Rattus norvegicus: one gene and its partners. The protein of the gene in region 1 interacts with the protein of each later gene in a pairwise test. Links are inferred from orthologs where the notes say so. Each region holds a gene or a part of one and is shown in the gene's direction. Other genes may lie near its edges.

Region 1 (3,500 bases):
GAGGCCAGCCTGAAGAAGTTCCAAGATGTCCAGGACTACACAGAGAAATTCTGTCTCAGAAAACACCGACAAGAACAAAAAGACCAGGATGCCATGTTATGCTGACAGCATCTTCAAATGTCTCGTATCTGTTGCCTCTATTAATGGCCTCTTTTCCATTTGTGCTTAGTTCACTGTCAGGGTATACATTAGCATCCCGGGAGCAGTAAAGCACAGTCACAGACACACGTGCCGTGCTTATCTAAGTTTGTGTAAGTGTACTCTATAATGGTTACACGATAGTTCAGTAGTGTGGTGACAGATTTCTCAGCATGAGTCTACATTATCATGTGGTACCTGACTATATTCTGATCAAAGGAATGACATATTTTCTCATTTCGGCGCGCGCATGCGCACGTGAATATGTGAGCTCTACTATAAATCAGCCCCATTCCATTTTCCACACAGTGTAAGAACTTGTGCTGTGAATTGGAAGAGCTGCAGCATCACCGCAGAACCAGTGAGGAGGAGCAGAAGCGGCTGCAGAGGGAGCTCAAGTGTGCCCAGAACGAGGTGCTCCGGTTTCAGACCTGCCACACCACCCAGGTAAACACTGCCAGGGGAAGGGCAGCAGGGCTCAGAGTCACAGCCTCCAGGGAGGCTGGACCTCAGGAGTGAGGCTGAACTCTGCAACTCGTACCCTATGACCAGAACCCAACAGCACCACCCAAAGCCCCTGCATATAGAAGCCGCATAGGATGGCATGTGGAAAGGTGTCATTGTTGAGTGTTTTCATCACTGAAGAAACTCAGACATAGATCCAGAGAGCTTCTTCTCAAGGTCTCTGCCTCAGAAAACTATCTATCACAGAGGCCTGGATAGGGCCCTGCTACTTCTTGAGAGTAACTGCTCTACTCACCCTCTCCACTACAGAATGAGGAACTGAAGAGCAGGCTCTGTGCCCTGCAGCAAAAGTATGATACTAGCCAGGATGAACACAGTGAGCTTCTGAAGGTGCAGATGCAGCTTCAGTCTGAGCTCCAGCAGCTCAAACTCGTCAGATGCACACCTGTAGAGAGCCAGAGTGAGAAGGTAACAGTGCCAAAGGTAAAGGGACAGTGGAGGGGCCAGCAGTGCTGACTGAGGTCTTGGGGAATACAAATAATGGTAACTCCAGAGCTGGGGATATGGCTTTTGGTAGACTGCCTGCATAGCATGTGTGAGGTCCTAGGCTCAACTCCCAGCACTGAAACAAATCAAAAGGGGGCAACTGGTTTTTGAACCTAGTGTGATAGAGCATATCTGTTATGACAGACAGAACTGAGAAGATAGAAGCAGAGGTATCAGGAGTTCAAGGCCAGGGCCAGCTACATAGACTGGATTTCATGGGATTAGATTGCATTTGTTTATAAACAAACCAAAAAGATGACTGTCTTCTTCCAGTTCTGCATAGGTGGGAGGCACAAGTGGCAAGTAAAAGGAGGAGGTAGATTCTCAGGTGGTCAGTGGCTGAGTCAGGAGAAGAGCAAGGTCATAAAACCCAGCACCACTACCCAAAGTCCCCTGCATGCAGGAGTTAATGTGCCGGCTCCAGAAGCTGCAGGCCCAGCACCAGTGCAGTGTGAATGAGAAGGAACAGCTTCTAGAAGTCCAGCATCACCTGCACGACAAGCTGCGGTGCCATGAGTCAGAGATGCATCGTCTCCGAGAGATGGTGGACTGCTTGCGAGAGAGAAATGAGAAGGTAAAAGGAAGGCCAGGCCAGGAGCACATAGCCAGGCAGGATCTTCTGTGAGGGTAAGCAGAGTGGGATTGTCGGAGTTCTGTGGAGGAGCTGCTGTGAGGTGGACCCAGGACATGCAGAGAGAGCTGCTATAGAGATATCCTCAGTTTCCTTTTATTTTAAACCAGAAAATCAGTCTACAGAAAGGAATCCTGTTGCTTCCTTCAGGAGGAAGCCTCACAGGTCAGGGCGTCAAACCTGTTAAGGATAGGTCTGTGTGGTTCTCCCTGGCTGGGATGAAGTCTGGGTTGGAAAGTAGGCTGGGAAGGTCCAGAGTGAGGCAGTAGTCGTACATCCCATGGGTGATGGCTCTGCCTTCCCTACACAGAATTCAGGGATACACCTCCAGCTACAGGAGATGAAGGGATTGTATCAGTGCAGCAGGGATGAGCTGGAACGGCAGAAGCACATGTATGACCAGCTGGAGCAGGACTTCATGCTCTGCCAGCAGGAGCTGACAGAGCTCAAGTCCAGCCATTCCTTTTGTGAAGACAGTGGAAACCGCCCCAACAAGGTAATTGTACTTGAGAGTGCTAAGTGCTTTTGGCACCAGCTTGGGAGAGAGGAGAAACAAAAACAAGGGATGAGGTCACCCAGCTAAATGCAGAAGACAAAGACAGACCCATGTCTACTGGCCTTAAAACAGTTCATCTTGAGCTTGACTTGAATAAGAACCATAGCTTAGTTGATCGATACATTGGATCTCAGTCAGTATAAACATCTGTTTTTCATATGACCCCATGTATATATGTATTTCTACATTGGCATTGAAACTGTATCAAAGTCTCATCATTTGAAGAGAGGCACAGACACATGTTTAAACTAAAGAGAATAGAGCCAGATTTCTGAAACAGGTTGCAAGTGATTTTAAGGTTGTAGTCTGTACCCAGAATGCTGATTTGAGTATTAAAAGAACCAGTGGTCTTTTAGGATATAGTAAGACTTGAAGTAAATTATCAAATCTTGAATTTTGCTTCAAATTAAACAAAATGTTATTTTTGGGGGGGTTGGGGGGTGGATAGGAGTGTTGAGACAGAGTCTCAGTGTTTAGACTAGGTTACTCTTGAACTTGTGGCAATCCTCCTGCTTCCGCCTTTATTGCTCAGATTACAGGCATGTACCACCATACCCAGCATGGTACAGAACAATATTTTTGTCCCACTTTCTTTAAGAAAATAGTTCCAGCAGTGATACATAAGGGCTTGTTCACTTTTCCTGTGGTGTATTAGATTGGTGTCAGCCAGTGCCATTTCCCCTGTTGAGCACTATCAGCCTTGGATCATGATAGAACTGGAGAGGAGTGGAGCCCTTTGGAGAAGAGGCTTAAGAGTCTTGGGAGATGGTGAGGTCACATTCTGCAAAGGTGCTCTGGCTCCCACCTCTCCCAGTAGAAAGAAGACTGTGTCCCTGGGAAAGGCCGTTGTGACATAGAAGATTGAGAAGGGTACAGTCTGGTTGCCGCTCCATCGCAGGGCTTGCATTTCGCTGGCTTTCTTCTCTCCCACTCAGTTGAGAGATCCACTGGATCCCTGATTTGCTTCAAGACCTCGTACAGTGCTGTAGCCTACAACAAGTGAAAGACATGCTGGTGTACCAACCGCTGAGATTTTACCTGACTTTAAAATTCCTGGTTCTGAGAATCAGAGGCTGATGTAGCTTTAACCCAAATTCAGCAATGGCTCCTATTTTACTAAAGGTTTTACAATATAATGAAGACTGGGGATGTAGCTTAGAGGTA
Region 2 (4,161 bases), on another chromosome or scaffold:
ATGTGTACACATCATGCTATCACAAGTTTAGGAGCCTTCAAAATTATTATTGTCATTGTCATTATTATTATTATTATTATTATTATTATTATTATTATTATTGTACTCTTAGGCTGCTGAGGGATGCCCTTCTTCACCCTTTGAAAGACTGAGACCCTTTTGTACCTGGTGCTTTTCTTATAACTATACACCTTCATCTTGTAACTGAAAATTCAAGCGATTTCTTTTTATGAAAGTGCCATTCTAATTTATGACAAAATGGAGGCGGGGAAGCATGGTAGGATCCTTGGTAGAAAGTATGGTTAAGCCAGATTTGGAATTCCATGGCTTCACCATGAGAAATGTGATCCCCCATGTTCTTATGTCTCATTCTGTATCACTTCATGGAGAGAGGAGCAAAATAGAAATGTAGACAAAGAACATAAAGAGTATGAAAGTAGCCAGGAGATTAGCAGCTGTGGAGATATTCCCTCTGGGGGTGAAAGTATGTATTGGTATACAACATTAAACTAGGATTTATGAATAAGAAGGATAGGTATTTTTGAAACATAATAACTACCCACAAAGAATCCTTTTTTAAAAAATTCCCCAAGTCAGATTTTTAGACCTACTGACAGAAAAGCTTGACTGTGATAACATCAGGGTTTAAATTTTTAGAGGAAACTTGACAAGAATTTTATATTATCCTCTAATGTAAATGAAAAGAAGATGCATTAAATCAAATGTAATGGTGTGTGTGTGGCTTGCCAGAAAGTCCATTAAAGAGGTCACCCAGCAAGGTTTGAGGTGTTTTATTTTTCCTCCCAGGATATGTGTTACTTACCACTGTGTCTCCTTTACCTGGTGCAGAACCAGCACAACAGCATCGCTGTGTGCTAAGCGGGCTCAGTCACAGCACTTACCACACCACACTGCAAATGAAGCCAGTAGTTCACTGTTTCTGGCCTTCAGTTTGTCCTCTCTGAAGGAAAGCACTCTAAGCGTGGGTTTGTGATGGATGTCAGCACTGGAGTCCAACAGAAGGCCTTGCAAAGAAACAAGAAAACGGCAGTAAACCAGCTATGACCCTAGCCGTCCTTGTATGTTTATTTTAAGACGAAACCTCTCTAAGTCATCCAGGGTGGCATGAAGCTCACTCTGTAGCTTGGGATGGCTTTGAATTTGTGGTTGTTTTGCTCCCATCTCCTAATAAGGAGGCTGGGAATACAAGCTTGAAAGACTTACTAAGGATCCAGGTGACTTTAAAATGCTGATTCCGACCTCTCAAAAGAAAAAAAATAATATGTTCACAACATGTGTGATGTTTGGTTGTGTCATTGAAACTTTTGTGCATTAAAGCTTGACTGATTATTTTCTTGCAGCCCAGTGAAGAACCATTAAGGACTCACAGCAAGAGAAGAGACACCGCTCAAGTCTCATGCAGGCCATTCTCTATGGAAACGGACATCACCCACAACAACACAAGCATTCTCATCTGAAGTGGCAGCCGAGAGGTTCATCTTGGACAGCGTTGGCAGGATTGTTTCCCTATATACTTCTGAAGGTTTGGAAGAAAAGTTTATAGAAATCATCCATCCATAGAAAGCATTTCCTTCTCCAAGGTAGTACAGAGGAGCTTCTAGAGAAGAGCAAAATAGCCTTTGAGAGAGGTCATGAGGGAAACTGCTACAGACCACATATTCCTAACCATACGAGAAAAATTCCAGCAGACTTGAGTGACGACGTGGCTGTTATTTCAAAGTTTCCCAATTTAGCATTCAGGGTACAGTTTTCCTTCTGGCATTTTGCTGGTTAAGTGGGGTCTGTGATATCATTAATTTGACCCCTATCCAAAACTGTTTCATGAGAAAGCCAAGTCATATAGAAGATAGTCAGATGTAACAATGTTTTCCTAAGTCGTCTTTCCCAGAGGGTACTGGATGCCATTAAGAGACAACGGTAGGCAGAAGGGATGGGAAGAGAGGAGGCAGACAAAATCCATGTTTTGGAAGGGAAAGGCTTAGTAAATTGAGTAGGGCTTTTGATTGATGGTCATCACAGATCTTTGCATGTGTCACCCTGGCATGTGGCACTGATGCGGCAGCTGTAGAATTCCTTTACAGGTTTCTTGAATAGATTTATTTTAGATCACTCTTTTTTGTCTTATCAATCATTTTGCATGTGGGGGGGGTACAGTTTTGCCTTTTGGGAAAGAATGTGAGAAATAGTATGTTTATGATAGTTGTGCAGAATTCTAATGACTTATTAGGTAAGGCTGGGCATTTTTCTTTTAAAAATTGATGAGGATATGTACAGATGTTTATATTCAATTGTTAAGAATATATTAAATGTAGCCTGAAGCTAGCCCCACAACTTCAAAATGGTTATTCTACCCCATAGATGTTCAGTGGGATATGTAGACATTAGCTCTTGTTAAGTTCAAGTTTTTTAATTTAAAATATTTTATAATAGTTTATTAAAAGGAAATTGAAAACAAGATGTGATATCAAAAATATACTCTGCTATGTTGGAATGAAGTATTGTTTTGGATAAAACTGTATTTTATGTAATTAGTTTAATTAGTCACCATGGGGCATTTTTCTAGTGCTGATCACTAATGTGCAATACTTTTATAAAAAGCAATTTTATCCTAAAATTTAAACAGCCAAATTAACATATCAGGAATGATAGATTCTTAGAATTGCTTAAATTGACAAGAAAGGATTTATTGTGAGAAGAATTTTCTTAATTATTGAACTAGTAAGATAGTCGACACAACAAATATGATAACGTAATTTCTTAGTTCTCCAAGTGTGGGATACAGTGAGACAATAAAAGATAGCTAGTGAGTTCAAGGAAATGCACACAATGACAGAAATGCAGGGGATTATTATTTCCAAAGCCGCGATGTTTCCTGAAGCCTTAAATAATATATCAACATATATTAACTTCAACTTCTCATGTTTAATGATGTTTACAATTAATATGGTACAGTATTCCCTAATTTGAGATTAGCAGTCGTAATTAACTCAGAATAGATTCTTTGAAGTGGTTCAAAGGGCTTTTTGTAATAAATTATTAGCCTCTAATCAGCTAATATGAAGTGAGTAGTTTTGGGGGATGTGAGAAGTACATTAAAATCTCATAAAACATTTAATTTAAGTTAATGAAATGAATTTGTATGGTACAGATCTCTATATGGAAACAGAGCCATGACTGGCATTCCAGAGGAGGCTTTATTTAGACCAAGTTGAGAAATCTTTGGGATAACAGGCTTTAGGCTGTGATATCTTAGGTGTTAACAGCTGAGTAGATTTCTAGAATTGTCAAGTCCCTTTAAGACCATTTTTTTTAATTAACTGAGTTAGTAAAAGATTAAAAAAAACATTTTGTCTTGGGTTTCTTTTGCTATCCTAAGAACGTTGATTTTAAGTTTGTAAAATTGAGCTTTGACTCCCGAGAGAGTTTTCGCTTGTAAGGCCGGACCTGGCAGACCTCAAGGATCCTGGGTGTTCACTGACACACCATTGAGATAAGGAGAGCAACATGAGCCAGGGATTAGTCTGGCAGGCCTGTTGCTTCCAGCGCCCCAGAGACTCTGTAGCTCACGGTGCGGTGGTCCAGGAGAAGACGCGCGTTTGAAAGCATTAATACCTCCATAGGGTAACGATGAAGGTGCCTGTATCCGGGGATGTGAAAGAGGAAACCGAAGAGGAAAATGTGGAGGAGGAAGAAAAGCCAGAAGACGAGGTGAGCAAGAAAGAATTCGCCCAACCACAGAACTCAGTCCTTTAATAGGCAAAGAGACACAGGACCTTCCTCCTCTCTCTCTTTTGAATTTTCACATAGGTGTTTCTGAAACCTGTCGTTGAAGACCTAAGCATGGAGCTGGCCAGAAAGTGCACCGAGCTCATTAGTGACGTAAGTGGTTTAAGACTTTGACTTATTTGCTTCCTTTCCATGGAATGGCTGTGTTGGAGAGTCACGGGGCTGGAGAGAAAACCCTGAGGTCATCAGGTAGAGCATTGTCATTTTCTAGATCATAGAACTAAGTCGGACATGTCAGGTGGTTTCCCCAAGGTCAGGCAGTCAGGGAATGCCTGCTAGAACAATTGCTCTCATTCCTAATCCAGGTCCTGTCCCTTCCGGGCTGTGCAGTCCTACTAAATCGAATGGTGTCCT
Region 3 (4,124 bases), on another chromosome or scaffold:
CGTCCCCTGGCACCTCACAACCATCTCTAACTGCAGCTCCAAGGGACACAAAGTCCTTTTCTGGACTCTCAAGCAACAGGCACACATGGTGCACATAAATACATGAAGGAAAACACGCATACACATAAAACCATTTTTAAAGGAATGTATTTGCAACCCATATAATTTTCTATCCATCTTCCCTCATATTAAGGTAAAAAGCAAAATTATATATTTTGCTAAATTATATATATCTGCATGTATAAAAAGCACAAACACAAAATAAAGAACTGTCAACTGCTCTATGCACCCAAAATATGTTAATTTTCCCAACACAGTGTAAGGCAATGGTCTACAATACTATGAATAACGATTTTATAGCTCAGAAAACTGAGGCACAGGGAAATTGTGTGCTTAGAGGCCGAGGTCACAAAACTCTAAAGATTCAAGCCTGGGCAGTCTGCCGACTAAAAATATTTGGGTAAACAATTCCCAACTGTGTTAACAGCACAAGACTCAGGGTGGTTGAAAAGAAGGGGGTGTATTCTCCTACTTTTCTCCTGATGACAGTGATGGTGATGATGATGATGATTATACATAGGCATACATACATATATATTAAAAATGACCAATCAACTAAAATGTATTCCTATACTACATCTAAGCAGAGGGGGGTTTTTGTTTTGTTTTGTTTTTTTCTTTTAAATTTAGCACAGAACACCGCGTTACAACCGGGAACCTTGTCGTCGGATGTTGACCTTTTTTTTTTAATTGCGGAAAAGAGTGTGTGTGTTGAAAATGAATATAGAAAAACCGGCCAAGGTGTGCTGGGTTTTTAACTTTCTACATCATCTTTGATTAAACCCTGATTCTAGTTCTGGATTAACTCTGTCCTGAAATGCACACAGAGTCAAAATCTAACAAGTCAGGGCTATGATAAGACTGAGAAGGAAAGGGAAAACTATCAGGCCAGAAGAGCCAAGCAAGACGTTATCCCCTGGGAGATTCGCTTGTGGTTTTTTTGTTTTAAGTAAAGCCTGAAGCATTGTCACAGAACCACACTTTGACAGGTTCTAGACATGGCAGAGATGTTGACGATGCATATGCAAAGAATCTAAATGTAAACCTAGTTTCAGATTTAATTTTCCGATCTTGTTCGGGTTCAAGAGTCTAGCGGGACCACGGCACCTATGGACTACAACTCCCAGCGTGCAAGAGGTTCTTACCCACACGCCCCGGCTCCTGGTGCGTTCATTTCCCAGAAAACCGAGCGATCACGCCGACGCGCGCATGCGCTCTGGCATCACTAGTCTCTTACTTGGGTTTGACCTACAGCTGCCCGGGAAAAGATGGCCGCACCAGCAACATCCGTGCTGTCCCGACAGGTAGAAGCTGACGGGAGGGTCCCTCCTGGGGTTCCCGGTCCCCGACTCCCAGCGCTGCGTGTGAGGCTGTGGCTGAGGGGTCAAGCCGCCCACCAGGGTCGTGGGGCCCGGCCATTTCAGGAAGCGTGGGGCTGATTCGCGTTTTTTCCCCCGTGGGGAGTGGGCACGAATTGCGCTATCTTGACCTTGACATCCAAGAGTCGATGCATAGCTGAGCAGCTGGCAAAAGCATGGGAGAGAGAATTGGGGAAAGCACACGTCTAGCCTTGTTCGTAAACCTGCCAGGGCTAGCTGCTGCTTGGCAGTATTGAGTGTTCGTAAAGCGCATTCCATGTGTTTATAAAGAAGGAAGAAAGGGTTAAACCTCTTCTTTGGCTGGCAGCCAGTAAGTGGTGAGATTGCAACGGGCCAAGTCCAGCAGAAACTGGAATTGGGTGGATCATCTGCCCTGATGATTTTAATTTGTACTTAATTCATAATTTTTATCAAGGCCTGAGAAAGCTTTTTAACCCTCATAGCCAGTTCTAGTCGAGTACACCCTAGAGATGGGAGTATAGACAGTGACCTGTGCCCTTGAGAGGTGCTTTTTAAATGGCATTCCAGGCTTCTCCAGTGACAGACTCAGTGCCTGGTGCTATATGAAAAGATCTTTGGTGTTTGATATCACTTCAATTCCTTAGCACATAGGTTTACTCGAATCAAGGCTGGCCTCCTCTTATGTTCATTAAAGTTTTTCCCAAAGGTGATAGAAATATAAATCCTCCACTTTGCTAAAGCATTTTCCTCAAATGTGATAAAGCTCTTGACTTTTTTTTTTTTTTTTTTAAATTCAATTTTGAGAAGCTAGCATTTTCTTTCTCAACTACCCAGGGAGGAAGGCAGTTGAAAGACAGTTTCTGAAGCAGTTTGGGGTGACTCTCAATAGGGAATGTATAGGTAATAAGGAGCAGTTCCCAGTCATGTAAGCTTTGTGACGATAATGTAAAAGAATTATGCAGCTCTTTGATTGGAATATTTTAACCTATTGCTAAGCTAATGCAGAAACCCTGTCTCATCTATTTTCTTCTGTTCTAAAGGTGCGGAGTTTCAGCACATCTGTGGTCAGGCCCTTTTCGAAGCTTGTAAGGGTATGTCAGCTTGCATTTGTCTGTGGGGGGGGGGTGGTTGGAAAGCAGTGAGGGAGTGAGTTGAACAGAAACACCGTGAAGTGTGTGTGCGATTACTAAACTTGGTCTGCAAGGATAGCAGTTCTCAAACGACTGCCTGGGATGCAGGGGATGCTGTCAGGTGCCTGTCACATAGGGTGGGCTCAACCCTAGTCTTTAATGTTCTAAAATGTACTTGTTTGGGCCAGCAAGAGGGCTCAGTCGGTAAAGGCTGGTGATGACAACACACACACAGGGTATGTATAAAAGAATCTTAAATTGTTTTTTCTAGTATTCCTCCATAGACAAGCTAGCCTTTCCTTCTCTTTTTATGAAGGAGCTATTTGTAACAAAAGAAAGTAAAGTACCCAGATTCTAACATAGTCGATACTCTGTGTTGCCTCTTGACTCTGGCAGCAGTGAGGTATGCCTGCAGTCTGCACCTTTTTTCCCTCAAGTAGAGTCAACACTGACAGGTACTGTTCCAGGCACCAACAACAGTCTGACTGAGCATTGCAGAGGTCTGCTGGCCTCTTTCTTTTTTTTCTTTTTTTTTTTTTTTTTCTTTTTTTTTTTCGGAGCTGGGGACCGAACCCAGGGCCAAGCGCTCTACCACTGAGCTAAATCCCCAACACCCCTTTTCTTTTTAAACCAGGAGTCTGACTGACCCCCATGCAGGCAGCTCCACCCTCTTACGGAATTCGGATTGGAGTGTGGCTGTGTGTGCATTTGTTTTGTAATCCTTTATTACTCGTTCATGCATGGCAGAATGTAAGGATACTCTGGGCTGCCGTGTGCTCTCTGACACCTGGGTCAGTCACTGCACTCACACTCTCCTCAGGACTAGCAAGGCAGAATGCTCTGGGGCACGTGAGATGGGACTAACAGCAGTACACACTACACTTCCTAACACCACCAAATCCCTTCATCCTCTGTGGGTGGAGCCATTTTATCCCTCCCGAGAACTTCATAAAACACCATTACCATGATGGGGACGCACGCCTGCACTTCTTACACGCTGTCCCCCTCCGCTTACCTTCACAACTGCCTGCCATGGTACTAAGTAAACTCCTGTGCTTAAGGACAGCACTGTCACTGGGGTCATGAGGTCAAAGAAAGCAAAAGCTTGCCATAACAGTTGCAGGCAGGGAGGCTGGGAGGGACACGGGACACTGCCTTCCCTGCCCCTCCAAAGTTAGGGCAGGTCCTGGCCAGGGAGTCATCCCTGGTTTGTGAATTCTCACTTAGGCTGCCCCTTGGTGAAGTATTTAAATGGTGTGGCAGTGGGAACGTGGTCTTAGCTTAGGAGTGATTCTGTTCCTGGCTTAGCTACCTCACTCCCCTCCTCCTCTTGTCTCCAGCCCCCTGTCCAGGTCTACGGCATCGAAGGCCGCTATGCAACCGCCCTGTACTCTGCTGCGTCTAAGCAGAAAAGGCTGGACCAGGTGGAAAAGGAGTTGCTGCGAGTGGGGGTGAGGAGCTCTCCTGTTGGACCTGTTCCCACATTGTCTTCAGTTACTGTAACAGGGCATGACCTTAAAGAGAAGCACTAGACACTACAAAGAATGTTTACTGCAGACATGCTGTTGATGATGAGACAGCTTTATTATTCTGA
Region 4 (3,094 bases), on another chromosome or scaffold:
TTTGTCCCTTAATATATTTGAAACTACTCAACTTTTATTCTCCCTAAATGTTTACTTTCTTAATTTATTACATAAAGCATCGAGGCTGTAACAATTATATACTCTGTGCAAGATGACACTAAACCATATCATCACCATTAAGCAGAAACCTGGAGTTTTGTGAACTTTGAGTTTTTTATATAAATGGCTCTCTGTTATCAACTTGCCTTCTCAAAATCTGTGATTCTGAGGTCAGAAGGACACAGCTGCCACATAAACACTGACCACTTATCACCATGTGCACAAAAACACGTTCCTGCGTGGCTAGAAAGTGTAACTCCTAACCACTTTGAGAAACCGTTTTTGAATGAACAGAGCAAGGTTGTTGTTCTTCCCTACTCCCCGGAAGATAGGGCATGAAAAGCAAACACATTATTATAAAACCAAAAACGACGAATGTGTGGTTTGACGGCCAGACCCTGAATTTATGTTCAGTATCTGATGGGGACCAGTGACTCTGGGCATGTCTGTCCTGGCTTTTCTCCTGTTTCTCCATGATTGCTGTTATTTTCAGCTATGGTCATCACAATCACCTTTGTCCCTTTCTTCCTCCTTCCAACTCTGCGTTAAATTCCAGGAACTTGTTTGCTGTGAAGTCTAGAATCTGTCTTGAAGCAAGCTTGCTCTGTGACCTAACTTGCCTGGGAAAGGAAGGGACGGTAGAAGTCAGTGTGTTGTTAAGGAGTCTTAACTTGCTGTTTAAATGAAATACAGTGTCAGATTGCTCCCTTCTGATGGACTTAGGAGGTACGAGTTCTGCCTTCTATCCGAGATTGTATTTGGATCAAAGACATTAAAATTACAGATGTTAATTCTTATGAAGGTTGCATCTAATAACCCTGCCAAGTAGTTCAACAAGTGTCTGCTGTTTGTACTGCAACTCTTGCAGCCAATAGCTGCTGGGACTGATTTAATGCAGCTGGAGACTAGCACGAACAATCATTATAGCCTGAAAAGTGTGCACCAAGTTCACTGTACTTTTGCTTTTCTCTTCAGTCTAAGGACCAATTAATGATCGTCAGAAGGTCCTTGAAATGTTTTTTCATTGTATTATGATTCAAGAATTAGTTGGAAGGAGAGGTGAGCTTTGGGGCAGGCCAGTACTGTTTAACAGGTGAGAGGTTGTTTTGCTAAGGATTCACTTTAGCTGTGAGAGAGCAATCGTTTCATCTGAGACTGCCAGGCTTCATCTGCACGCCCAACCCCACCTGATAAAAAAAAAAACAAAACAAAAAAACAAAAAACCAACCTTGCTGAGCAGCAAGACGTGAGAGCACAGTTGTGGCTGGTTTTGAGAATACAAGAAGAAGGGAAATGGGATGAAGGCGGAAACCTTCAGCCATGCTTCCAAACTTCCCTGGGTGTTCCTGGTCATTTCTCTCTAGCGTCTCTTGTGACTGTCCCATCTGAGGGTGTAATGCCTTCGCCTCTCATCCTGTGTCGCTACCTCCCTCGCGAGCTGTCGCCAACGGTGGACTCGAGGTCCTGCAGCAGCCCCTTGGTGGCCTCGAGGAAGGCGGGGAAGTTCCTGGGGGCCACTCCTCCTCGGGCCCCGCGGCTGTCACGCCGGCTGGCCTGGTGCTTCATAGACTGGGGACAGGTATGCCTGCTGCATAGGCTGGGTTCTGGAGGGTTTGGCTCGGTGTACAAAGCCACTTACCACGGTGTTCCTGTGGCCATCAAGCAAGTGAACAAGTGCACCAGGAACCTACGTGCATCCCAGCGGAGTTTCTGGGCTGAACTGAACATTGCAAGGCTGCACCACGACAACATAGTCCGGGTTGTGGCTGCCAGCACGCGCACGCCGGAAGGTTCCAACAGCCTTGGTACCATAATCATGGAGTTTGGGGGCAATGTGACTCTACACCAAGTCATCTACGGTGCCACCCGCTCCCCAGAGCCTCTCAGCTGCAGAGAGCAACTGAGTTTGGGAAAGTGCCTCAAGTATTCCCTAGATATTGTTAACGGCCTGCTTTTTCTCCACTCACAAAGCATTTTGCACTTGGACCTGAAGCCAGCGAACATTTTGATCAGTGAGAAGGACGTTTGTAAGATAAGTGACTTCGGCTGCTCCCAGAAGCTTCAGGATCTGCGGTGCCGGCAGGCGTCCCTTCACCACATCGGGGGCACGTACACGCACCAAGCTCCGGAGCTCCTGAAAGGAGAGATCGCCACGCCCAAAGCCGACATCTACTCTTTTGGCATCACCCTGTGGCAGATGACCACCAGGGAGGTGCCTTACTCCGGCGAGCCTCAGTACGTGCAGTACGCAGTGGTAGCCTACAATCTGCGCCCGTCACTGGCAGGGGCGGTGTTCACCGCCTCCCTGACTGGGAAGACGCTGCAGAACATCGTCCAGAGCTGCTGGGAGGCCCGCGCCCTGCAGAGGCCGGGTGCAGAACTGCTCCAGAAGGACCTGAAGGCTTTCCGAGGGGCACTGGGCTGACTCCATCGAGCCTGTGTGCAGATAAGCTTTTCGTTTCTGTTTATTTTTAAATAAGTAAGGATGGGCTTTTAGGGCATATTTTTAGAAAATAAAGTTACTACAAACTTCAGCCTGAAGTGCCTTTCCTAAGACTAACGAGGGTACAGATATCATGGGCACCACTCACGGTTGTTAAACAACCTGAGCCCTTTGTGTGTCACCTTTCTGGGTCTACTGTATCATTTCCGTAGTAAGGTTTGTTCCTGAATGAAAAGAGAAAGGGGGTGGGAGGAGGGGGCACTACTCCTAGGAATGAAGGAGAAAGTTTATTGCGGATACGAGGGAGACATAGGACATAGTCATAGACATGGACATCTGGCTGAGAAAGCCCAGAGCGGACATGTTCCTGAGCCATGTGAGAAGTAGTAGGAGGAGAAGGGGGAAGGAAGACAGAAGTAGGTACAGCAGCTGGAAGATTCAAAACGGGAGGGGGAGCTAAAATGGATTATATAAGAAAGGACAGCTGGGGAAAGGGCAGCCCAGTCCCTGGGTTGGAGAAGTTTAGGGCAGAGGGTGGGGCGTGCCAGTCTGGAGCACTCTGTAGTAGACAGGGACTGAGGGATGCAGGGA

What was found. The genes of interacting proteins can lie anywhere in the genome.
Region 2: the proteins of Ccdc136 (region 1) and Nebl interact in a two-hybrid assay, tested with the Homo sapiens proteins (2 studies listed by BioGRID and IntAct). The two-hybrid records come from large-scale screens. The link is inferred for Rattus norvegicus from reciprocal best matches to the Homo sapiens genes CCDC136 and NEBL.
Region 3: the proteins of Ccdc136 (region 1) and Atp5po interact in binary tests that used the Homo sapiens proteins (3 or more experiments, as listed by UniProt). The two-hybrid records come from large-scale screens. The link is inferred for Rattus norvegicus from reciprocal best matches to the Homo sapiens genes CCDC136 and ATP5PO.
Region 4: the proteins of Ccdc136 (region 1) and Mos interact in binary tests that used the Homo sapiens proteins (3 or more experiments, as listed by UniProt). The two-hybrid records come from large-scale screens. The link is inferred for Rattus norvegicus from reciprocal best matches to the Homo sapiens genes CCDC136 and MOS.

Annotation. Positions count from the first base shown.
Region 1 is NC_086022.1:58,976,696-58,980,195, forward strand, and holds part of Ccdc136 (coiled-coil domain-containing protein 136), read left to right. Parts: intron 1-447; coding exon 448-585; intron 586-912; coding exon 913-1,071; intron 1,072-1,552; coding exon 1,553-1,723; intron 1,724-2,090; coding exon 2,091-2,276; intron 2,277-3,500. UniProt on the Homo sapiens protein: May play a role in acrosome formation in spermatogenesis and in fertilization.
Region 2 is NC_086035.1:85,132,497-85,136,657, reverse strand, and holds the start of Nebl (nebulette), read left to right. Parts: upstream 1-1,361; 5' UTR 1,362-1,543; intron 1,544-1,556; exon of another isoform or gene 1,557-3,641; 5' UTR 3,642-3,648; coding exon 3,649-3,729; intron 3,730-3,828; coding exon 3,829-3,900; intron 3,901-4,161. UniProt on the Homo sapiens protein: Binds to actin and plays an important role in the assembly of the Z-disk. May functionally link sarcomeric actin to the desmin intermediate filaments in the heart muscle sarcomeres.
Region 3 is NC_086029.1:44,654,684-44,658,807, reverse strand, and holds the start of Atp5po (ATP synthase subunit O, mitochondrial precursor), read left to right. Parts: upstream 1-1,324; 5' UTR 1,325-1,328; coding exon 1,329-1,364; intron 1,365-2,440; coding exon 2,441-2,491; intron 2,492-3,870; coding exon 3,871-3,981; intron 3,982-4,124. UniProt on the Homo sapiens protein: Subunit OSCP, of the mitochondrial membrane ATP synthase complex (F(1)F(0) ATP synthase or Complex V) that produces ATP from ADP in the presence of a proton gradient across the membrane which is generated by electron transport complexes of the respiratory chain.
Region 4 is NC_086023.1:21,657,049-21,660,142, reverse strand, and holds Mos (proto-oncogene serine/threonine-protein kinase mos), read left to right. Parts: upstream 1-1,286; 5' UTR 1,287-1,456; coding exon 1,457-2,485; 3' UTR 2,486-2,594; downstream 2,595-3,094.